Regions from separate parts of the Mus musculus genome. Here all the other regions are reported to be linked to region 3. The links are microRNA targets in miRTarBase. Many come from high-throughput screens and were not tested one by one. Region 3 holds a microRNA gene; each other region holds the end of a gene's coding sequence.

Region 1 (4,087 bases), not on the chromosome of region 3:
GGGGGCTCAGTGGACCTCTTCCACGTTCGGGAGAGCGGATGGGAGTATGTATCCCGCAGTGATGCTTGCGTGCTGTATAGGGAGCTGCAGAAAGCCCGGAGCTTGGAGCAGGAGCTGGAGGCAAAAGCTTGTGGAATCTATCCTGAGCCTGCCACGCCGCAAGGTGCTCGAGAATGTAAAGAACTCTTTGTGGAGCAAGAGGAGGTGACGCCAGAAGACTGCGCGATAATAATGAAGACTGAAACAATGTAAGAAAGGACAGAACTTGGGGACTGCCAGGACAAGGGACTAGGGGATGAAGCTGCCTTGGCAGGGTTAGTTCTGGGAGCAGCCCCGGGCATCTGGCTCTGGCCCTTTTGGGTTTCCTGCTTTGTTTAAGTTCCCATCCTCTCTGCTTCCCAGAGCTACTGATGTCTCTGTCCAACATGTTCTGATGATACCTGATGGATGGTATTGCCTCCTTCTGCCTCTAAAGTGACTAAACAAACACTCATTGCATGCCTACTTTGTGCCAACTGTCATGCTATGTGCTGGGCCCTCTTTTGTCATTCTACCCCAGTTGGTATTCTCATTTTGGTCCTTATCTGGTTTGTTTTCTCTTTCAGCTGGTCACCTTTTCAACTTGGTCAGGCTGAATGGCCAGGAGAGAGCCTAGTTTAGTGATGGGCTTGTCTCTGCTGGCCCTCCACACCCTGACCCCCACCATGACTGTAATGGCTATAATGATTCCACCTATACTGAGTGCAGTTCCCATGACAGCTTTTGCAAGCATGATTGTTTATTGAAGCTGGGTCAGGTTTAGAGAGTTACAGGACTTACGCAGGTTACAGTAGGTGACAATGTTGTGGGGCTTAAGACACTCTTAATCCTTCCCCAGCTCTCTGCATCTTTCCCTCCCAGCCTCCACTGTCTTGCCTTGTTTTTCTGCCTGCATTGCAGGCTTCTGGGGAATGGGCCAAACCCCTGCCTGTTGTCTGGAGATGAATGAACTCCAAGGAACTCATGGGCTTGGAGGGAAGAGCTCAGAGAAGCTGCCCATTCCCGGTCTCATCTTGCTGTGTTGGTCAGGGTTTGAGCCATGCCCTGTAGCACACACATCCCTGCTCTCTACCCTGCAGATCTCTCCCTGCTTCTTCGCTCCGGCCTCTCCTGGTTGCTCCTGCTGGAGAATGAAGACCAGAGGCAGGGTGCTGTGCCTCTGGTGCCAGCTAGCACATCTGGCCTTCCTGGCCTGCTCTGGACGTCCAGGATTTCAGCTTCAGGAACACCACTGCCTCCTCCTCAGGGCTGGGCATCCAGAGAAAGGGAACCCAAAGAACTTTCCTCTCACCTGAAGCCTCCAGTCCTAAGACTGACAACTGCTTCTCCTTCCTTGACAGTGTGCACTTCGAATTAAGAATTCTTTGAAATCAGACTTAGACTTACAGATTCTTACCCAGACTCTCCAAACTCTGGAGAGTCAAAAGGCAAGCTGGGGAGCCCAGAGAAAATGGAGGATGGGCAGTGGTGATGCACAACTTTAATCCCAGCACTCAGTAGGCAGCAGCAGGCGGATTTCTGAGTTGGAGGCCAGCCTGGTCTACAGAGTGAGTTCCAGGACAGCCAGGGCTACACAGAGAAACCCTGTCTTGAAAAACCAAACCAAACCAAACCAAACCAAACCAAACCAAACCAAACCAAACCAAACCAAACCAAACCAAACCAAACCAAGCCAAGCCAAACCAAGCCAAACAAACAAACAAACAAACAAACAAACAACCCTACAAAAAACAAGAAACAAACAAACTCCCAAACCCAGAGTGCTACAGAAAGGTTCCCAATACATGGGGTCTGGCTTGCAAGCCAGGGTAGAAATCTGGCTATTGGCCTTCAAAGCATCCTTCATCCCCTGCAAACTTCCTAGCCTTGGGGAAGAGATATGATCCTCCAGGAGTGACATCCAAAGGTTAGGGATACTGAAGAAGCAAATGAGGAGAGGTCATTTTTTTTTTTTTTAAGATTTATTTCTTTTAATGTCCTGTTTTCAAACACACCAGAAGAGGGCATCAGATCCCATTACAGATGATTGTGAGCCACCGTGTGGTTGCTGGGATTTGAACTCAGGACCTCTGGAAGAGCAGGCAGTGCTCTTAACCTCTGAGCCACCTCTCCAGCCTGAGAGGTAACTTTTGCACAGGCATAAGTGGGTTCAGATTCATGGCCATTGATGAGGGTCTTATGTCCAGCTGTCGGGGAATGAGTTAAGATAGGCATCTGCACTTCAGTGTGGTGGGCGAGGCATGTGGTGTTGTTCTGTGGAAGAGAGAGGAGCAGCACTTGACTCAGAGCAGCCGCTGCAGCCTGTGTAGCCCAGCGCTAGCCATCATGCACAGTGGAGAGCCACAAAAAAGAGGAGGTTGGGGCGGGGCTGTATAGGAGCCTATGGCTGCTCCTCACCCTGGTCTACTCTGAGGCTTTCAGGCAGTGAACAGAGGCAGGGGCAGAGGGATGGTCTGGGACCTGGGATGAACATCTGGGACCAGCCAAAGGCTGCTGTGCATCTCAATCCCCTGAGATGCTCTGTGCCTCTCTTCTCAGACTGGACAAGGAGGCTAGAACCCTGAAAGAGCAGAACTTGCATCTACATCCGTCTCCTCCTCTCTCCTCTCTCTTCCTTCCATGATCTTATTCTTGGTCTTATTCATGATCTTATTCTTATTCTTGATCTTCATTCTTCTTGGCAGGTGATGAGATATGTAAGCTTACAGGTTTTGCTGATGAGCTTGTATCCCCAAACCCTGTAAGAATTTCGAGGGGCTGAGAGATGGCTCTGCAGGTAAAGGTACTTGCCACCAAACCCGATGACATACGAGTTTAGTCCCCAGGACTGACATGTGGAAAAGGATAGGAAAAAGATACACTGTGTAAATACATGAACCAGGAAAACATTTAAACAGTGTTTGAGGAAATGTTTGTCTTGTTGTTGTTGTTGACTTTAAATATGAGTGTATGCATGTATGCATGTATGTATGTATGCATGTCACATGCATGCCTGGTGCCCACAGAGGTTAGAAGAGGGTATCAGGTCTCCTGGAAGCAGAGTTCTGGATGATTGTGATCCACCACGTGGGGGCAGGGAATCAAACAGGAGGACCTTCTGGAAGAGTCAATGCTAAGTCACCTCTCCAGCCCCAGGTTCCTCTCAGTGTTTTTGCTTTAATGCTTTTTTTAGACTCATGTGCATGGATGGGTATTTTGCTCCATGTATGTATTGTTCCACATACTTGCCTGCTGCCTGCAGGTCAGAAGAGGATATCAAATCCCCTGGAGTCAGAGATGCTTGTGAGCCATCATGTGGGTGCTGTTTGTTGTGAGTTTATAGCCAATCAGCCTCTATCCACATAACAACTTCTTAGTTTTTCTATTTCTAATTTATGCTGTACTTTTGTTTTGTTTTGTTTTGTTTTTCGAGACAGGGTTTCTCTGTATAGCCCTGGCTGTCCTGGAACTCACTTTGTAGACCAGGTTGGCCTCGATCTCAGAAATTCACCTGCCTCTGCCTCCCGAGTGCTGGGATTAAAGGTGTGTGTTACCACGCCCGGCTCTGTTCCAATGATTTTTAAAGGTTGACGCAGGTATCAGGGTGAGACCAAAGGGCCTCCTTGCCTTGACCGCAGGACCCTGATCTCTCTGGTGTCCTGCTTTGGCTGCTGCATCTTCAGTTTCTTAAGACCCTGGAGGGATGGACACACACCTGCTCTTATGCAGGACTCTTAATGCAACTTCAGCAGAGAAAAGAGCCAGCAATGGAGACATGGCTCTGCCTCCCTGTAAGTACCTGGGGGGCTCTTACCCCACTTTAGAGAATTTATTTCCCAAATTATAGACATAAATCTTTATAACAAGCCTTAAAAACACTAGAGCTGAGCAGATATCAACCCTCTAAGCTATTGTCTACATTTCTGTCAATATCCCGGAGATATCACTTGCCACGTCCTGCCTGGGACATGCCTACTCTACCAGACTAGCCCTCAAGGCTGTACTCATGATCAGCCTATCCCATGGTGGCTTTTTCCTTCTCTTCCTCTTTCATCCTGTGGTCCCTGCT
Region 2 (4,087 bases), not on the chromosome of region 3:
TAAAGGGTCCCAGCACTAGGAAGGTTGAGAGCCATGGCCATAGGAACTGGAGGCCTAAGGCCTGGTGCTCTCTTGACTCACAGAAGCCCCTGAACCTGGTATTTTTAGACTACAGGGCAGTGTTTTACAGAAAGTTCCCCAGGTGCAGTTTGATTACTTTCTTATGATATAACCTGGAACGGCGGGATGGACAGACGCCCTGCTCCGGCCATCTGATCAGCAGATACATGCTGTGATTTCTCCTGGTGATAGTGGTGTGAGCTTTGGTCACTTGGTTAAATCTGCATCTACTGTCTTTCTTGACTGCAGTAGAGCCCTTTGCGTCTAAAACACAATTTTCATGGAGGTTCCCATGCAGCACTGACCCAAGGGCTCAGTATCGGTCAGAACCAATCGGCACTATTGCTGTAGAAGGTGGTCAGACACTGCTTCTTAGCTGTTAACTCCTGTGACCTTTGCCTCTTCCTCAAGGGTTCTCAGCCATCTATGAGAGCATAGGGTCCCTCAGACAAGTGCTGGAGGCCAAGATGAAGCTGGACAGGGACCAACTTCAGAAGCAGATCCAGCAGATGCAGAAGCCAGAGACCGCCATGTGAAGACGGCTGGGACAAGGACCTGACAGGAGACTGCACGTGGGGCTAAGAGCCAGATGGCTCTGCAGCCACATCGTGGCTATGTTCCGGATCCCATCCAGGGTGTGCATGTGCCAAGAAATGCGCTCTCATGGGTCTAAGCGTTTACCTTCAGTCTTGAAAACACCCTTTACTTAAAATCGTAAATACAATTTTTACAACGTTATTTCCCTAAGTGCAGTTGAGCCCGATTCCCTCAGATTTTGAAAGGCTTTTATGAATGAAAAGAATTTATTTTCAATGCTTGATGCTCTAGCCAAGACTACTATTTTGGAAAAAAAAAAAAAACCCACCATGGTGATTTTTCTTTTGATTAAAAAGTGAATGAGTTGCTACAGGTATGTATTGCCCCTCACCCTACATTAAGAGAAGTCCTGGTAGAGTTCAGCTTTAAGTCCACATCTGGATTGTATTTTTGTTGTCTATATGGTTTTTTTTTTTTAAATGTTGGGTTTTTTTTTTTTTTTTTTTTTTGTAAATCACCTGTCTTTTGTAGAGAAGAAGTTTAACACTGGGAGAGAAAAAAAAAAGCCCTGCAATTTATATAATGAAAATAGTTTTTTAAAATTGATAATTGCCATACAGATTATAAATTAAGTAGAAACTTACAACGTTTATCTAGATCCCACAAGGCACGATATTTATATCCACCTAGGGGTACCGGCTTTTACTATTTAAAGCTATTTTTGAAACCACTCACAACCTGTGTAGTGATAGCCATATATTTAATAATGGGATGGTGGCTAAGCAACCTGTTTATCGAACAGCTAATTGTTCATCAGTTGTAATGAATGTTAGAATTTTTCAGACTTTACGATTTACCTAAATGTTCCCTAAACAGGCACTACGTGCTAGGGTTTATAGACATTTGTTGTAACTGTCTATCTTGTGCCTTGGTTTTTTTTCTTACGTCGCTGTACTGTCCTCTGTAAAAAAAAAAAAGAAATTACCCACAAAATAGACAGTGTGGTAAACACATCAGGGTTGTGGTGTAAGACTGAGATCCTATGTAATTTTAAGCATCCTAATGATTTCATCGCTGTCATGGTGGGCCGCACTCAGCATCCTTCATGGAATAGCTGCACACACCTTTGTATGGACAGAGAGGCAAAGCGAGACTACATTTGTAATACTGCGAGGAGACGGGTGTCCCGGCACCTTTGCAGGCGTTTTATTTTCAGTTGCCATGTTTGAGTCATTGAAGACTTGAGCCTGTGCCATTTGCACTTCTGTGTTAAAGTGAGGGCACAGAGAGAGAGAGGGAGAGAGAGAGAGAGAGAGAGAGAGAGAGAGAGAGAGAGAACAGGAGCATTTAAAAGTTCCAAGAACAACACCCCATCCTTTCCTTTCCTCTCTCATGTGCAAGGACTCAGGAAAATCAAAAGCATTTTCTATTTCTAGAATAAACCACACTGAGATTCTACCTGGCTCTTACTGTTGACCCATGTAAGATATGCTGCTAAAGTACCTAATATTCTACTCTTGGGACCTTGAAAACTTTGATTTGAGTTTGGATGCATGAGAGGTTATGTGAGGAACATGTACCCATCCTGCATTTCTTCATCTCCCCACACATCGTTTCGTCTCCATGCAGGAGGATCTGCCCACCTAGGAGAAGTCAGCGATGCTTCGTGACCAGACAGTGTGGTTTCTTCTTTCCCTGTGTGCTCGGCTAGCCATGTTTTATCGAGTGATTAAGCACAAATCTCACTCAGGACAGGGCCACACCTCCTCAGTGTCTCTCTCCCCTGGGGACTCTAAGGGGGAAGGGTGAGCACACAGGACACTTGGGAGGAGGAGACAGGGGACACCTGCTGACCCTGGCCTAGCAGGTGATGTAAGCAGGTGACACAGCTGCTGGTGATACCGCCAGGTATTCGAGACGTTGCCGACCATGTGACAAGACACTGTGGCAGGGACCCTCCACCCTGGCTGCTTGGGGTCACTTGGGGAGTTTAAAGAGCAACTGACACCAAACAACCTCCTGACCCATTAAGTCAGAGCATCTGGGAGGCAGTCACCAGCACCAACCAGTATGTGTCACAGCCCTATCCCGAATCCCCCCCACCCCCCCACCCCCAGCGATTCTGTGTGCTATGGGGAGGCCAGCCATCCTGCGAAGACAATGGAGTACTCTTCTCGCCAAAGTTTAAAGGAGAATCAGCTGCCCTGTCTTTTCCTTTACCAGAGATTTGCAATAAAGAGAATAAAATTTCCAAATAAGTGTGGCATGGGACTTTTAAATGCGAAGAATCTTTGAGTGTGGGAAGAAAACCTTGGCAGGCCAGCTGCCTTAGGGGACGTACTGCTTGATTTTCTCGAGGCTGCCTCTGGAGTCGCGCCAGTGAGCAGTTCCTGGATGGCTATGTGCCAAGGACCTTTTTAAGTCTGTGTTGAGGCTCTTTTTAAAAATTTTTTAAAATCCCATTGGGTGTGTGCGTGTACATATGTGTATGCGTGAGTATACGTGTGTGCACGTGTGATACATACGTGAACATTGGCTCACGGAGGTCAGGAGAGGGCATCGGATCCGTTGGAGCTGGAGTTACAGATGGTGGTGAATCACTTGACATGCGTGCTAGGAACTAAACACCTGCTCTCTGGAAGATCAAGTGATGCTAGCTGCCCACCATCCCCACAGCCCCTCGCTGAGATGCTTCTGTGTGCTCACTCATTTTGTTTAACAGTGTCTAGTATATACCATTGTCCGTCATTTTACAGTCACGGAAAAATGGCACAACTTACCTCAAATCCTACTGCTCATAAGTAGGAAGCCCGACTCTAGGAAGCACCCGATTATGCATCCTGGCTTTTCTATCTGACAGGCCATCACCCCCAGCCTCTGTCTGACCATCCTTGCTCATTTCGCTTATTTTTTTAAAGACATTCTCACATAGCCGACATTGACCTTGAACTCACTATGTGGATGAGAATGCCCTTGCACCCCTAATCCCCCTGCCTCTATTTCTCAAGGGCTGGGATTAGAGGGGCGAGGCACTGTGCTTGTTATTGTTTTAAATTACATTTTATGTATCGTGTGTGTATACACACATAATTGTATGCATGTGGGGGGTGCCACAGTGCACATACAGAGGTCAGAGGAAACCTGCAGGAGCCAGCTGTCTCCTCCCACTATGGGTTTTATATACACTGATGACTAGACCACTCCTTGGCTCGGCTAAGGGGAAGGCTTTTGTTGTGGATATGAGATGAGGCCAGCCACAGGCATCTGGAAAAATCTAGATCAGAGAGAAAGGAGTAGAACGGACAGGACCAGGGTTCTGTGAGAGAGGGAAGACCGTAAGAGACCAGAGAACCAGAGAGAACAGAGTGTGAGAGGCAGGAGCTGAACACAGAGAAAAAGCATAGCAAGAATTGCAGAGTTCTAGGGAGAACAGAGGATCTGGGGAGGGAAGCCATGAACTGGAGGGAGGGAGGGTCCAGGAGGAGGTGAG
Region 3 (4,087 bases):
GGTGAGCTACACACCCTGCAAGGTTTGCCTTCACATCTCAAAGGCAGAACTGACCAGTCCCGACTGGCTCCCCCTTCTTGTAGTGGACCTGCCCTTCCAGGAATATGTGGAACAGCTGCTGCAGCCCCAGGATCCTGCATCCCTAGGCAATGGTGAGCCAGACCCAGGCAGCGGTGGGAGTGGGGTACTTGGGAGCCCACTGTTGCCAGTACTCCTGCCTATCACCCTCTCTGCTGGCAGACACCCTGTACTTTTTTGGAGACAACAACTTCACTGAGTGGGCATCCCTCTTCCAGCACTACTCTCCGCCACCATTCCGTCTCCTGGGAACCACCCCTGCTTACAGCTTTGGAATTGCAGGTAGGGGCTACTTCAAAACAAACTTGGGGGAGCCCATATATATTTTGTTCATCAGCTATTCATAACTGACCCCACAGGAGCTGGATCTGGGGTACCCTTCCACTGGCATGGGCCTGGTTTCTCAGAGGTTATCTATGGTCGGAAGGTCAGTACAGTGTTATGTGTGTGTTATGTGTGTGTGTAAATCTGGTGTCTATAGTCCATTGCACACATAGTGACCTTACACTCCTGCCTCCAGCGCTGGTTCCTCTACCCTCCTGAGAAGACACCTGAGTTCCACCCTAACAAGACCACATTGGCCTGGCTGCTGGAAATATACCCATCTCTAGCCCTGTCAGCACGGCCTCTAGAATGTACCATCCAGGCTGGTGAAGTCAGTAGCTGGTAGGTGGGGGTTGGGCTAACTCAAAAAGCCATGAATCAAAATTTTTTTTTTCTTTTCTCCCAGGTACTGTATTTTCCTGATCGGTGGTGGCATGCCACACTCAATCTGGACACCAGTGTCTTCATTTCTACCTTCCTTGGCTAGCCAGACAGGCAACTGGCAAGCCCACTGCACCAGCACATGCCAATGTAGTGCTCACAGACTTTATTACAGGACAGTGGCAGCAGCAGCAACCTCAGCCCACCCTCACCCACTCTCCAGCCCAGAAGGGGGACAAGGGAGGCTCATGGTCCAGCAAGGGGTATGCTGAGAAGGGGAGCAGTTCAGAACCCATCAGCAGGGCCGATGGGGGCAGGCCCAGGGACACAAACTATACAGGGACTGGAGCTTCCGTCTCCAGATCCTCCTGGGCCAGGGTGCCAGGCAGGACATGGGGCCTCAATAGTCCTCTACCCAGCCGTTCTCAGAGATGAAAGCGTCAATGACTTCCTTCATGGCCAAGTTGGGGATGAGCTGTTCCTGGGTCAGAGGGCTCCGGGTCACAGGGTCAAAGTGGCCCACACGCTGCAACAGAGTCAAGAGTGTTCAATGGCCTGAGTATACCGATCCGGGTACCAAGGCTCTCCATGGCCCGGTCTCCATGGGCCCTCCTTACCTGCAGGTGCTCCTCAATGTCCTTGCGGTCATAGGTGATACCACTGGGTGTAATGCAGGGTTCCCGCATCAGCTCAAAGCTAATCTTGCCACACAAGTAGTCAGGGATATCTCGCTTCTATAGCACAAGGGGAAAATGTCTAGAACTGGAGGGGGCTGTGGGGGTCACCATACCAGCAGCAGCCGATGAGCTTCCGGGGGTCCTCACCTTTCTTTTCTCGTCCACCTGAGAGAAGAGCTCATCCATATCTGCCATGTATTTATCCTGCAGAGTTGAGTGCCATGTGTGGGCAACTCCTGTCTCCACACAGACACACACACTCTGTCCACCAGGGCACTCATGTCATGCATGGGCCAACAGATCCACCAAAGGCTGGGGCACTTTTCATGCCACACACAAACACACACACAATGACCCACATGTGGACTAGGGGCACCCTCACGTGCTTGGCCTCAATGCAGGCCTGCTGGGCCCGGATGTGGCCATCATCTTCATGACCCTCGTGGTTCCGCTGACACTCCTCCAGTTCCCTGAGGGTTAACCAGAAGCTAGTTGGTGATGGCCCTGACCAGGAAATCACAGAGCCCGCCCCATCTCAGGCCTCTTTCCTCCTGGGCTTCCCATGTACCGGTTGTTGTCCTTCAATAAAAACACTTGTGCTGGTGACTCAGTGTCTGCTGGGGGAGGGACCCACCTCTCTCGCTCAGCAGCAATGAGCCTGGTGAGATATGAATGCAGCTCACTCTCCTGGTGGATGCGCCGTTCCTCGATACTGTTCCAGCGCTTCTTCTTAGCAATGCGAAGGGCACTAGGAATATCATCCCCAAAGTTGAGTCGCTGCTCCTTGGCCAAACTATAGGCTAGGGGAGTGGACACTTTTGGTTACACTTGTCAACAATCCTGGTCCCCCAAGGTGCCCTCAACCTTGCATCTTGTCAGCCCACCTCGCTGCAGATTGGCAATGGCCTCATCATAACTCTCCATCTCCAGCTGGCACTGCCCCAGGAAGAAGTGCGCCTTCACAGACTGCCCGTCCAGCTCCAGGGCTCGCCGGCAGTCAGCAAGTGCCTGTTCAGGCTGCTGCATCTTCAGATAGCACAGGGCCCGGTTAGTGTAGTACACTGCCACAAGTGGGTTCCGAGTCTGGGGACCAAGACCAGGCGTCAAAGAGTGTGGGCTCAGTTGATCCCCTCTCATTTAGCAAGCTGAAAGCCAATGATCTGGTCAATGCTCCAGCTTTGGGGGCCCATGGCTGGAATAGAGGAACTGGAGATTTCCGAATTATCAAGAGCTCTGGATTCTGGCCATGCTTTCTTGCCTCCAACTGCTTTTGAGAGAAATCCCACAACCCCTCTACAAGCTCTGGGCTTGGAAATCTCAAGGGGCAAGAGCTCCTGGTGTCATCCTTAGTCTTACTTAATCAAGCATCCCGCCCGCCAGTTCCCAGTCAAATCAGCCCTAGACTCGGGAACAGCAATCCGGGCACCAGGGGAGCGAGCGAGCCATCGAGTCCAGGCTGCCAGAAACCCTGTCCGGGATCACAAAACTGGGAGGCACATCGGGCCCCGCCCCCGCCCCTCCCGCACTCACGATGGCGCGGCCGTAGCAGGCCGCCGCCTCCGGGTACTTGCGGCCCACGAAGAGCCGGTTTCCCTGCTCCTTGAGCTCTTGCGCACTCGGGCTCTTATCAGGGCTGCCGCCGCCACCAGTGCCCAGCCGCGCGCCGCCCTCCTTTTCCTCCTTGCCCTTCATGGCGCCGCGCGGCACGGCTTGGGCTCCGCGCCCGGCCACCTAGATCTCGCAGCCCGCGCAGCGATCAGCTCCGCCCGGTCGGCGATCCGCCACCGGAACTTCCGGTGTGGGGCGGAGCTGGCATGGGGACACGTGAGCAAAGGCGGAGCCTCGTGGATTGAGCCAGTTCCCTTAGCTCTGAGAAGCTTCCGCCGCGCTCTACAGGCCCCGCCCTACAGTAACCGAGACCTACCCTGCTCAGACCAAGGCTCCGCCCATCGGCGCTCAAGCCCCGCCCTCCGGCCCCAAGCTGGGCGAACGTGGCAGCGGTCATTGAGAAGTGGCCTTCCGAGGGCCGGTCACTAGGCCCGGGTCCTAGCGCACCACCAGGGCACACACGGGCTCACGCGACAGCCTGGGAACGTCTGGACCGCCGGTAGGAAGGCGGAATTGAGGGTAGAAGAGAGGCCCGCAGATCAGACCGCTCTCGAGGGGCTTCCTCGGGAATCGGGAGGAGCTGCCTGCGGCCATTAATGGCTGAGAAACAAGCACGTGACACGCTGACACCGAAGGACCTTCTGCGGTTGCTATAGAAGTAGCTGCGGGTGCACGGCTGGACTCTTGCCCTTCTCGCGGTCATGGGGAGGAGCTTCTTCAAGGGCGGAGCCGGCTGGTTTCCTTGGAGAGCGCCTGCACCAAGACCCTTTGACCCCATGGTCTGTCGTTGAGGCATTTCTAGCCGCTGCTGCATCAGCTGTTGGCCGCTAACACCCCCAACCCCGGACTTGGAGAAGCAGAACTCGGCTTTCTGCTGATCTGGGCGCCGCAGTCAAACTTCGCTGCGTGGTTTCTGCCACTGCCTCGAGTGAGTAGGTAGCATCTTTGCCCAAGTTGGGTGGGGGCTCTAGGAGCTCAAAAAAAGCTATCCCCAGAACCTCCTTGTCACTCTTTGCAGT
Region 4 (4,081 bases), not on the chromosome of region 3:
TTGTAAGCTGCCTAAATGCTTGGTTTTGTAAAATTTCTGAAATGATGTATGCGTGAAAGGAAAACACACTAAGGTTTTTTGTTTGTTTGTTTGTTTGTTTGTTTAAAAGCCACTTCTGAAGCCACATTTAACAGTTAGGCTCCAAGTCACTTCAATTCAGTGGCTCTTTTCCATGTACAGAGGACAACGCGCCTGCCCCAGGGAGCTGTTGTAAGGAGTCATAAATAGGAGGACACCGCAGAACACAGCTCAGGACTCACGTTTAACAAACCAGCTTCCCTTCCCACTTTCTTACAACGGCGACTGACTGCAGGGTCCCCAGCCTCAGTGTGTGTGTTCCCACCCAATTCTAAAATCCAGAAAGACTCCCAGCACTTCAGAGAGAATCAGTCTAGTTTTGTGTAAAGGAAAAAGGGACAGAACCAAGCAGACATCAATACAATTAATGCCCTGAACCAACTATTGCTCAGCTACCTGCAACTGCTGAGTCCTGTGCACCCTAGCAAGTACTTTGCAGAGGCGAAACCTCGCATCTATCATCCATCACAAGCATACAAGCACACCGCTAACAAGAAATGAGAACCAGCTGCTCCTCTCTGAACCGAGTAAGGATTTACTTAGGAAACACAGGCCAAGTTCACGGACTCGTTACATGGCTGCCGATGCTACCCAACACCACGGAAGTAAAGTACCTCAACTCTACCTAATTTAACTCTACTTCATTTAAGCTAACAATTTTGGAGCTCAAAGAAAAATCAAGGATCTAGTCTATCACAGTCTTGATGAGGGCATATACACTGTTCTGAGTTAAACTGTAATGATTTCACACCATACTGAAGGAATTCAAGGTTGTAAGACCCCAAATAAACACAAACAAAAGTCGTGGGTCAAATGCACCCTCAAGCTCACCGTCCTTTCTATCAAGAGCAGGAAGGCCTCTGCACACTGCAGGAAGGGCGTAACCACACCTCCACCTCCACTCTCAGTGTTCTAGTGCTCACTGCTCTAATGATGATGCCAGGCTGATGCCTACCAAGTTCCACTTTCTGACGTCACTGCTACGTCTCATTTCTACCTGATTCTTCCCCCGTAGCCTTTTATACTGAGCCTCACTCACTTCTCCTTTCCAAACCTCTCAGGCCAAGCTTTGGCGGACAGCTCCCTTACTACACACAGCACATGATCCAAATGATGAAGCCATACAACCTGAGCTAGCGGGTCCGCGCTTTAGTCCACTCTTCTCAATGTCCAGTGACAGAGTTTGATACTCGTGATCCTTACATTCACTTGACAGATTCTAAAGCCAACTTGTTCAAAAGATAAATTCTGAAAACAATGTTCATGATGTAAATGACTATATTGAAACAAAGAAAAGCTTCATCCAAGTATTTACATTTTTAAAAAAAGACATTTAAAAGTAGACTACTTATTAAGTGTGCTTGAACAAACCATGTGTGGAATTGAATTCCATTCATTATGGAGTTAGTTTCTGCTAAATACTTACTGATGCTATAGTAGACGCCTGGCACCTGAAGACTCAAGTTGTCAACTGTTCCCAGTCTACACTAAGAAGTAATACATCCTACACTCCCAAGGCTCTAATTCGGACCTCAGACACACAGAGCTGGACTATAAGGCAGTTACTCAGGGATGACGACGTGGCAGCTTTTAAGTGTAGTAGTCCCTCCACCTCCCCATGTTTTATCAGGTTTTTAGTTAAACACTATGGGCCATTTAAAGGTTTTAATTACTTATACCTTACTGTAGTATGTTACAGTAGCTTACCAAATTTAGATATTCAGAGGTTTTGGAAAATGTTTTTTTGAGAATGAGAAGGGTCCCCTATATTACATTAAGTAAAAAAACCATACAGTTCTGTAGGCCTCAAAATAAACAGATTATACAGCTCAATTAAAAACCACACACATTATATTACATACAAAGTTTACAGTCCAGAAATGCAAATACAGGCAATTTGACATTTCACCCCCTTTTGCAAAGTGATTAACAATTACAGAAGACACAGAAAACCTTCAATCATTATTGGCTTTGGCTTACACGTTAAACAGCTTATAAGTTTGTTTCTGTGTGTGTTTTATTTTGTAGCTTTCCTTTAGCTGTGTGTGGAAGGGATTGGACCACAAGAAAACAAGAATGAAAAAGGTCAGGAATAGAAAAGCTACTGAAATTACCACTTCCTTATAATACACGCAGGCAGAATATGGCTTCAAAGACAGAGGGAAGGAAGCCTCTTACAAGTCCCATTCAACATTACTGTAACTTCTTGTAAGTGTGACAACAATGCCAAGTGAAGTCGCTAGGTCAGGCAGGGATGACTCAAGTCAACTTATCAAACCCAACTTAATTTTGGTCTTGAAATCTTAAGTGCTTGAAGTTTGGGAATTTTTCATATTAATAAAGGCAAAAAAGTAGGTCAGCATTCAAAACTCCCCAGAGATGGGGTCAAAGGATAAACCTTGTAGCCGCTTTAAAGCTTTCCAATTAAGATCTCTGGAGATCAGGGTTAATTAAAATGTATTCCTGCTCCTAAAATGTGATCCCTTGGATTATAGACCGTGACAATTTTTTTCTTAAAATTCTATCTACTAAGAACAAATGTCTGTTTAAAGCCAACAACAAACAAGCAAAGCAAAGAGGCCACCCCAGAGGCTCCAGGCCACCCCGAGGCTCCCAGGCCACGTGGACAATGGACAACCCAACAGTCCAGTCTGCACAGACAGACAATTCTTTGTTAAAAACCAAACAAAAACAGGCATAGAATTAAGATTTATATACTAGTGTCAGTAGAATTGTCAGGCTTCACTATTTTGTTGCTAGTGATTCCAAAATTCCTTGACTCCATTGTTAAGTTCCTGAAGGGTGCACACAGCAGACAGCAGAAACTACCCAGCATGCCTCTGATGCTCACAGCAGCCACCCCTGCTGTGCAGTTAGATACAAGCTGGGACAGACAGCAAGCAGAAGGCCGGCTTGTGCCCTCAGTTTGGATTTGATCGATTCCAAGAAATAAACAAATTATTCCCTCAAAACAATTCACCTAAAACCACACTGGGAAAAAAATATTAATTGAACTTGGGGTCAAAACAGGAAACTAGCATAAGGGAAGTGGCGAGAGCGTTTTGCTGAGTATGCTAAAGGTGTGTTTCAGGTAGTTTAACATTGATTCTGGTAAGACAACTGCTCACAGACATCCACACCCACACAGTTTAATGGTTTTTTAAAAAAAAAAAAAAAAAAAAAACCCCAAATTTGTTACTTTAGAAAAGCAATGCAGTGCATTTTCAGCAATCGTATGGCCACAGACTCCGACTGCTCAGTCCACACATAAGCAGCAGTTGGCGTCTATGGTGGCGTGGCCTCTCTGCACTCATTCCCAGGAGGCCGAGAACACGAGGGCAGGGCAAGCACAGGCTGCACTGCGGCACACACAACATTTACTCATCAGATCCCACCGATCGCTTCTGCGCCCGCTTCCGGGGCTGCCTTCTGGGAGAAGCTTTATCTGCAAAAAAAAAAAAAAGGAGCAAGTTAAAGCAAGAGAGGTTTGCCTCTCAGGCAGCTCTAAACTCAACACACCCACCCACCCACCCACCCACCTCTCACACACCCACACCCCATAACAAATGCCTTTTACCTAGCTCTTGGTTTTTTAAAAGAACTTTAAAGATATCCTTCTAGGGTAATACCAATTAAAATAACATTTGCATATCTAACATAGGAAATGATTGGACAATGGTTGCTGTATTGCTGCAGACACCACACACATTCAATAACATGCTCACAAGTGCACAAGTAAGAATTCTGAAATGCTTTAAAAGACCCAGGCATAGAGGTCTACATCCCAGCACGTGGGAGATGGAAGCAGGAGGATTAGGACTTCTGCAAGGCTCTTCTTCAAAAACACACACAATATTTAAAAGATACAATTGGAGCATATTTATGTTCAGCACAAACACAAAATTTAGTCTTTGCGGGTGCATTAAGTTTTGGCAACTATACAAACTTAACTGGAGAAGCAAACAAAGGCCATTAGTACCTCAATGCTAAAACCACTCCAGTA
Region 5 (4,087 bases), not on the chromosome of region 3:
TGTTTCACAGCAATAACTATCCTCTGGGTTTAACACGTGTCCCCTTACATCTAAGCTTTGTCTTTTCTCTTGCAGGCATTTGAGCACTTACAACAGTTGGAATTAATAAAACCCGTGGAAAGAACTTCAGTAAATTCTCAGAGAGAATACCAGCTAGTGAAACTACTTTTGGATAATACTCAAATTATGAATGCTCTACAGAAATACTCCAACTGCCCTACAGATGTTAGGCAGTGGGCAACATCCTCACTAAGCTGGCTGTGAAGATTTTAAGTACATTTCTGTGAAGACCTTAAAGTACTGTTCTTTATTTAATAAGATACGCTACTACATTGCTTTGTTTATAAATAGTTTATGGGAAATTTGCACTTAGTATGTTTTGAATAATGACCACGCATGGACACAGTTTCATTAATTTAAATTGCACCACACAAGTAGCAGTTCATAAGAATAAAATGTGCTTATTTTACGCATGGTCCATAAAATGATTTGATACTCTTTTAAAGTGTATGTGGTCCATTAGAAAGGTTAATTCCAACAAAGCATTTAGTTTACAGATCATAATCCTAAGCAGTCAGGAGAGAAATACGAACAGAAATTACATGAGGAATATTCCGGCTAGATTAGGCGCCTGTGGATATTGGAGTTGGGTTGATTTTCCTGAATTGGTTCCTATAGGATCCTCCAATTTTGGATCTTCTACAGATCCCCCAGTGTTCTAGTTTAGTAAACTGGCCCATTTGGGCTGAAGAACTTGTGTGGAAAGAGTCCAAACAACTCATCATTTTCTTCTCTGCATATCTCACCACAATTGTAGGATTTTTTTTTCCATGTACATTCTTTGTATATGTTCAGAAGGGATCAAAATTGCCATCTAACAGGTACCTTAAAGGATTCCTGGGCATCTACTTCCACAACTAATACGTATTCCACAGTGTTGGCTGTTGGCTTCAAAAAAAGGAATTCTCTTAACATGCTATGTTGGTCAGCGTCCACCTCCTAAGCTCATAGGCAAAACTCACAGGTTAAAATGGAATTTAATCTCAGAGATCCTTTGTTCAAGAATATTTGATTGCATATTTAGTTGTAGTAAGATTTTATAAAATACATAATCCTTTGTATGTGCAGTTTGTAAAGTATCTGCAGAATTAAATGCTCTTATTTACAGATCAGAAAACTAACACCAGTGTCAGGATCACAGTATGGGAATGACTGATGTGACCTTGAATGCAGCTTGGTTTGACTGACATTAAAGCCAGTGTTAAAAACTAAAGCTTAGCAACAAATGTTTTACTATTTTTACAGGATACTGTAAGGAATAATTTGACTTTTAAGAAATCTTAAATATAAATTTTCTGTGCATTAATGTAGTACCTCATAGTTAAAACTTTCTTCATTCACAGCCTTTCCCTTTCACAGTAAAACATGCTTAGCTTTCTGTGTCTTTCTTTTAGTCATGATAAAAATGAAGCTGTAATATCAAGGTCATACAAGTATAAACATATATGTCCAATTTTTAAACTACTTCCACCTTACAAGTTGTTCAAAATACATTATTAGATAATTCTAAAGTGAGAAAAATTAGATTCTAAAACACAAATCACAAGAACGTTTGATATTGAAGTGTCTGGCTTTAACATGTGATTCCACAAGAGTAGAAGCAAGAAAGGTATATACTTTTAGGAGCCTAAAAAACATTTCCAAACTAGCCCAAGCTATCTCAACTACAGGAGCGGAGGGGGACGAATGATTGTGAACACAAAGTCTGACTTGAAGATTCTCTGCAATGAAGAGAATTCATTCATTCACTCTGCTCAAGACTCCACTGGGCCAAGAGATGGAAGAACAAACAAAAAGGACTTTCCATGTAGCCTTCCTCCATGTGGCCTAGTGAAACATGGATCTTGTTTAAAAGGCATCTGATTTTATGCAGACACGTGTCTGAAAAATTAAAATCCATTGTCCAAACTTCCATACATTAGGTAACGTCTTATAATGTAAGGACATGGTATCCACTGCCCTAAAGATTTAGACATCCATCACAGACTCTGCAGTGGTGTTTCTACTCCAGTGAGGTACTTTCTACCATGGTGTGCCTTTTGCTGTGAGTGACTTAACAGTGCAGGTTCTTGTTGCCTTCACTGTTAACCCTGAGAGCACATAATCTGATGCATGTGTGACTAAGAATAAGCCTATGGTCATGGGCAAGAAGGGCCAACATAGACACTTGGGTAGAAATACAGTCTGATCAAGCAACGGTGTAAGGAAAAGTCCCTAATTCACAACCTCCTTGATCTTATGACCCTTGAAAACCTCAAGACCGAAGCCTGACCATAAGTTGGAAAGCTCTCATTACCCTCTTTAACAACATAAATTCATAGCTAAAGAAAAACTGCATGTGCAAATAATACCATATTCATTTTTTATTTAACATGGGGATGGAATGGGGATAGCATACATTTTATTTGTACAATATTTAACAATCACTTATTCAAGGTGGGATTTTATGGGGATTTTTTTCATTTTTAGCTTTCTGTTAAATACTTGCAGAAAAAAAAAATAGCAAGTACAATATGACAGTAGTACAACAACCTGTGCCCAAAACACTGACAAGAAATACAGAGTAAAGCTAAAATAATTGTTTACCAATATTTTGAGAGGTAACAAATAGGGAGATACGGGTTGAGACTGCATAAAAAACGTACTGCTGGTTGAATATCTGAGGTAAATGATGTTTAATCAAGATGCTACTTGTATCTTTGTCCATAAATTGTAAATAATTTTATGCACATTATACCAAATCTTCCTAAAAAGTAATTTTTCAAAAAAGTAAAAAAGAGAAACTGGAAAATATCTGATGAAGCATTTTTTTTTAAAAAACAGTAATCATTCTATTCCACTAAACTACCATCTATCTGGTGAGGAGTTTGGTTTTGTTTTGTTTTGTTTTGTTTTTCCCAACCATTTGAATTTTACTTAAATGTGACTTAATTATTAAGGATAAGAAAAAGGGTCAGAAGCGATGTTTTCATAATTGTGTGTGATACATAATTCTGTCTTTAAGTCCAAAGGTGTTTGTTTTTTGTTTTTCCTGGTTATATTTTTAGAATATTACCATGAAAGATAGTGCAAGTTCATGGGACCAATAATTGTGAGGCACAGTCTCTGTTCTGGAATTCACAAGGTACCTGTAATAAACATCCAAACAAGAGTCACAAATCACATGCTAAAACTCCTAGCATCTAAAATACATACAAGATCTGTGCAGGGCATAGATAGACTTCAAATAAATTCAAACACTGGTTACTCCATCAGTCAGTCCTATGGCAGTTGATCATAAAGCATTTCTCACATGGGAGATTTGGGCAAGGTAGAGTAAGAGCAGCAGTTCTGGTGGGTATCAGAAAGGCAAAGTACAAGACATCGTGAGCACCATACACATGAAGATATACAGGGGTCCAAGTTTGCCATCTCCCTAAAAAAAAGTTTTCATTCTTTGATCTTTCTTTTTCAATGTCCCTAACTCAATCTTTTTATCTGCCCATTCTGCACTTACTGTAAACCAAACACTAAAATGCCCTGCAAAAGAAAGTTTTAACAAGACTAGGTATAAGGGCAGGTAGTCACTGGAACATTCTTAACGTTACTGCTTATAAAAAAGGCTTTCTGTTAATGTAGTTCTTAAGAGAATACAAGTTTTAAAATTGATAAGCTAGATTTACATACAATACCCAAGATTTCCTTAAAAAAAAATTTTAGCATAAAGACAAAGCATCTTATATCATGAACCAGTCTTGGTAAAATTTATCTGTAGTGCTTTCTTAAGCCGAACAGTCGTATTATCCCTCATTTATCAGCTTTTAAAGGAGGTTGAATGTTTAAAACCAGTAGTAGTTTGCTTATGGAGAGGAATAATTTCCTTATATGCATATTTTCTTATGGTTTTCCTTGATTAGCTTACAAGTGCAAGCAAACCTATATCAAGAGTTTGAGGGGCCAAATATGTAGAAATCAAAACAATGAACACTGAACTTGGCAACCTTACGAATACAGTGAGACCTTGGGTACAGAGACAACGCACAGTTCT
Region 6 (4,078 bases), not on the chromosome of region 3:
CAGGGTGGGGCAGGAGGAGGAAATGTCTAGCACTGACTTCTTTCCACACTATCAGGCAGATGTTCAAGGATGAGAACAAGAAAGCTGAGGAGTTCCTAGAGGCTGCAGCTCAGCAGCACGAGCAGCTGCAGCAGAGGTGCCACCAGCTACAGCAGAAACGGCAGAGGTAGGCACGGAGCTCCTGTGTCCTCATTTCTCCCAGGAAGGTGAATGGCAGCTGTTTCCCCTGTTCTGCCGGTATGTCTCTTCATATTTTCTTGATTTTTCTGCTTTCATTCTCGTCCTTCACGCTTCCCGGACAGGCTGAAGGAAGAACTGGAAAAGCATGGGGTACAGATCCTTGCTCATAGTACGCAAAACGAAGAAGACAGCTCATGGAGGATGGTAAATCCGGGAACAGAAGGGAAAGGAAAAAAGTGGTATTCTCCAGAGTATAGTCTGTGGAAAGGGCATTCCTCTGAGGAGGCACAGCTGAGGCAGAGGTGTAAACTCATGGTAGCATGGGCACAGAAAGGTAGAAAGGGGTGGTAGGAGCAGGGAAAAATGCCTGGGCCTTTACCTCCCACAGGCCAGTCCTAAACCTGTAGAAGTCCACGAGGAGACAGCCCAAGACCAAGAGCGCCCATCAAGCAGGACCTAATACCCTCCTCAGCCTGGAGGACTTACTGACTTCAGACATCACTTGCGGATGTTTTGTGTAGCCTGCTTCATCTGAGTATGTGCCGAGTGGAAGAATGGGTGTTGGGGCCAAGCCCCTCAAGTCTTTGAACCTGGAGATGTCTTGGCTCAATTTTGAGTTTCACCTAGCTTAGGGTCCACACTGCAGACCCTTAGTAAATGCTTTCCCTGTCTCTTGCTCACCACTAGTATCTGACACACGCTTCTTCTCTTGAGCAGAGGATGCTGATCTGAACCTTCTCACAGGATCTGAAGCCACTTGGTAATTTAGTTCCCTCATGTAGGCCCAGAATAGCATATACTTTGAAACAAAAGGAAGACACATCACCAGCTCTTAATTCTCACTATAAACCACCTCATTCTTCAAGCAAAATAAATGAAATTTAAGTCTGCATGTGGTCTATATTGTGTGTGAGCAATCCCAAACTGTTGCCAGGAACATCTTAAACTAAAAATGCTCTTTTGGTTGGGGAGGACATAAATGGGCAGACCTTCCCCATTCATCTTTGGTTCTATTGGGTCCTTGTTTGGTTGCTATTTGTTTTGTGGTTTTCCTGGTAAGATGCAAATGAATGTATATTTACCTTAAATATGGAAGGGGACAAAAAGGAAAGATTCTGTCAAATCCAGCTCAGTGAATAAATGAGTTAGCAGGGAGATTTACAAGAGCTATCTATATCTTTTAAAATTCTGCCTCAGTCAGGTTCTTTTTTTTTTCTTTTTCATCTTACAGAATTTAGTGGAATGCTAGAAGAGGATTTTGTAAGGGTCTCCTGAGGGTCTTTTGATACTTCCCTTCCATGCAGAAGTGGATGCTAACAGCCCTATTCTTAAAGATCTTGACGTCTGCTCTGTTGCATTGCCATGATTCAGGAACAAAGTTTTCTATAGGTTGCCACAGTTACTGTACTTTCAAGATGGGCATGGGCATGCCAAGCTTGGAGGAAATATGTACACTAAAAGCAATAGTAAGTTCCTTAAGGCCAGACTAATTCTTCTAAAGAACTGTACTCCTGTTTTATTTGTTTCTTTGTTTTGAGACAGAATCTCATTTTTAGTCCTGGCTTGTTTGGAATTTGCTATGTAGACCAGGCTGGCCTCAGACTCACTGAGATCTGTGCCTGCCTTTGCCTCCTGAGTGCTGGGTTTAAAGATGTGTGCCACCATGCCTTTTCTGCAATAGTATTTGTGAAGTTAATGCTACTTCCTCGAAAAGAGAGCCAGGCTTGAACCATCTCAAGCTTTACCACCAAGAGAAGATAGTTGGTGACTCTGCTGACCAGGTGTCGACCTTAGACAGTGGCCAGATGATGCTATAATTAGTTAATGGCCCCTAGAGCTACGTACATCCTATCTTTCTTTTTTTCTTTTTTTCTTTTAGGTATTGATTTCATTTACATTTCCAATGCTATCCCAAAAGTCCCCCCCACGCTCTCCCACCCACTCCCCCACCCACCCACTTCCACTTCTTGGCCCTGATGTTCCCCTGTACTGAGGCAGATAAAGTTTGCACGACCAATGGGCCTCTCTTTCCACCGATGGCCGATAAGGCCATCTTCTGATACATATGCAGCTAGAGACACGAGCTCTGGGGGGGTACTGGGTAGTTCATATTGTTGTTCCACCTATAGGGTTGCAGACCCCTTCAGCTCCTTGGTTACTTTCTCTAGCTCCTCCATTGGGGGCCCTGTGATCCACCCAATAGCTGACTGTGAGCATCTACTTCTTGTGTTTGCTAGGCCCCGGCATAGTCTCACAAGAGACAGCTATATCTGGGTCCTTTCAGCAAAATCTTGCTAGTGTATGCAATGGTGTCAGCGTTTGGAAGCTGATTATGGGAGGGATCCCTGGATATGGCCATCTCTAGATGGTCCATCCTTTCGTCTCAGCTCCAGACTTTGTCTCTGTAACTCCTTCCATGGGTGTTTTGTTCCCAATTCTAAGAAGGGGCAAAGTGTCCACACTTTGGTCTTTGTTCTTCTTGAGTTTCATGTGTTTAGCAAATTGTATCTTCTGTTTTGGGTATCCTAAGTTTCTGGGCTAATATCCACTTATCAGTGAGTACATATTGTGTGAGTTCTTTTGTGATTGGGTTACCTCACTCAGGATTTCTGTAACAGTAATCTATGAAGTTGAAACATTTCTGCCCTAAAGTAAATTCTAAAATGACACTTTTTTTCCCCTCCTGGAAGCAGTCTTGCCATTGTGGAGCTATGATGATCCAAACACCTTCAGTAGGGTCACTGTCGTAGTATCTGTTAATTCTGGGTTTAAGTAGAACCCCAACATAAATCAGCTGGAAAAAGTTGGGTCAGCATAAAGCTGCTCACATTATAGTCCTAGGAACCCAAGAATATGATACCTATATGGTAAAAGAACTTTGAGTATATTGTTAGTTCAGTATCTTGTGATGGGCAGATAACCAGATCATCCATGCATATGCAAGCAAATTATTTTGAGAAGTCAGGGACTGATAGATTAGAAGATGTTATACTACTGGCTGTGAAATGCTATTCACTCACTGGGGAACTTTCACATGGTCAAGGGGACAAGGCTCTCATTAAATCTACAACTAACATAGTTCATCAATATCTTATACTTTTCTGTTTCATTTTATGATAGGAACTCCATATGCTTGGCATTTTTTAAAGACTTATTTATTTATTATATGTAAGTACACTGTAGCTGTCTTCAGACACTCCAGAAGACAGAGTCAGATCTCGATACAGATGGTTGTGAGCCACCATGTGGTTGCTGGGATTTGAACTCCGGACCTTCGGAAGAGCAGTCGGGTGCTCTTACCCACTGAGCCATCTCACCAGCCCGCTTGGCATTTTTTTAAACAGTCATTTTGTAAGGGATAATGATGGGCAGCAGGTCTCATGAACGAGGAATGACACAGAGTTTAAATTCGCGTGGGATACTGCCAAAGCCAATTGTAACAGGGCTGAGGTCGATATCCTTAGGGTCAACCAGAGACTTCAGATTAAAATGCTGCAGAATAGCAGACAAAAGCAGAAACAGTTCCATGCGGGCCAGGCCTTCTCCAACACACACGCGCTTTCCTAGAAGAGACAACAGTGCTGATGAGGTGCTGAGGGAGCAGAGCAGAGCTAACTCGCATAACATTGAGGGCTTGGAGGTGTGGGAGGAGGCTTCAGGCACACCACTGAAACCAGGATTCTCCATCCTTGCCCTTAGTCCCAGAACACCAATGCCCATATGTCAGAGCTCATGAATGTCAGTGACACTGACTTGAACCAGCAACTGACCCCACTCGTTGAGAGCTCCACTGCATAAACAAGTAGTAGTTTAGGGAAATGGACCCAAACTGTATCGTCCATAACTCTAGGAAGCTGGGGCAAGTGAAGCCTATGCAAAACATGGACTGTTAAGATGA

What was found. Region 3 holds the annotated microRNA mmu-miR-3082-5p (GACAGAGUGUGUGUGUCUGUGU, at 1,705-1,726, opposite strand). A microRNA usually pairs through its seed, bases 2 to 8, with sites in the 3' UTR of a target mRNA and lowers its output. Matches are read on the target gene's strand: a 7mer-m8 pairs with bases 2 to 8, a 7mer-A1 pairs with bases 2 to 7 and ends in A, and an 8mer does both.
Region 1: the mRNA of Psmb11 is a reported target of mmu-miR-3082-5p. Seed matches in the 3' UTR shown: 7mer-A1 at 3,461-3,467.
Region 2: the mRNA of Fam81a is a reported target of mmu-miR-3082-5p. Seed matches in the 3' UTR shown: 7mer-A1 at 1,557-1,563.
Region 4: miRTarBase lists Ssr1 as a target of mmu-miR-3082-5p. Seed matches in the 3' UTR shown: 7mer-m8 at 1,255-1,261 and 7mer-A1 at 176-182.
Region 5: the mRNA of Orc4 is a reported target of mmu-miR-3082-5p. The part of its 3' UTR that is shown has no 7-base or 8-base seed match.
Region 6: miRTarBase lists Cyp2e1 as a target of mmu-miR-3082-5p. Seed matches in the 3' UTR shown: 7mer-m8 at 3,386-3,392.

Annotation. Positions count from the first base shown.
Region 1 is chr14:54,625,984-54,630,070 of GRCm38, forward strand. Psmb11 (proteasome (prosome, macropain) subunit, beta type, 11) reads left to right here. Exons shown (of 1, transcript NM_175204.4): 1 at 1-3,573. The coding sequence ends at 252. Among named protein-coding and RNA genes, the nearest start is that of Psmb11, 2.7 kb to the left of the region's middle.
Region 2 is chr9:70,087,276-70,091,362 of GRCm38, reverse strand. Fam81a (family with sequence similarity 81, member A) reads left to right here. Exons shown (of 9, transcript NM_029784.2): 9 at 472-2,053. The coding sequence ends at 596. Among named protein-coding and RNA genes, the nearest start is that of Gm39369, 6.3 kb to the right of the region's middle.
Region 3 is chr17:25,829,702-25,833,788 of GRCm38, forward strand. It overlaps Mir3082 (microRNA 3082), which reads right to left and starts at 1,727; the gene lies at 1,664-1,727. Jmjd8 (jumonji domain containing 8) reads left to right here. Exons shown (of 9, transcript NM_028101.5): 4 at 1; 5 at 84-152; 6 at 241-360; 7 at 438-505; 8 at 599-733; 9 at 809-2,142. The coding sequence ends at 889. It overlaps Stub1 (STIP1 homology and U-Box containing protein 1), which reads right to left and starts at 3,218. Exons shown (of 7, transcript NM_019719.4): 1 at 2,991-3,218; 2 at 2,345-2,543; 3 at 2,095-2,260; 4 at 1,843-1,930; 5 at 1,608-1,664; 6 at 1,401-1,517; 7 at 933-1,309. The coding sequence starts at 3,152. The coding sequence ends at 1,184.
Region 4 is chr13:37,976,284-37,980,364 of GRCm38, forward strand. It overlaps Ssr1 (signal sequence receptor, alpha), which reads right to left. Exons shown (of 8, transcript NM_025965.4): 8 at 1-3,523. The coding sequence ends at 3,456. Among named protein-coding and RNA genes, the nearest start is that of Gm52041, 12 kb to the left of the region's middle.
Region 5 is chr2:48,901,588-48,905,674 of GRCm38, reverse strand. Orc4 (origin recognition complex, subunit 4) reads left to right here. Exons shown (of 14, transcript NM_011958.4): 14 at 76-2,850. The coding sequence ends at 264. Acvr2a (activin receptor IIA) reads right to left here. Exons shown (of 11, transcript NM_007396.4): 11 at 2,411-4,087. Among named protein-coding and RNA genes, the nearest start is that of Orc4, 46 kb to the left of the region's middle.
Region 6 is chr7:140,774,223-140,778,300 of GRCm38, reverse strand. It overlaps Cyp2e1 (cytochrome P450, family 2, subfamily e, polypeptide 1), which reads right to left. Exons shown (of 9, transcript NM_021282.3): 9 at 3,311-3,743. The coding sequence ends at 3,559. It overlaps Syce1 (synaptonemal complex central element protein 1), which reads left to right. Exons shown (of 13, transcript NM_001143765.1): 11 at 56-166; 12 at 303-384; 13 at 569-1,072. The coding sequence ends at 640. Among named protein-coding and RNA genes, the nearest start is that of Syce1, 12 kb to the left of the region's middle.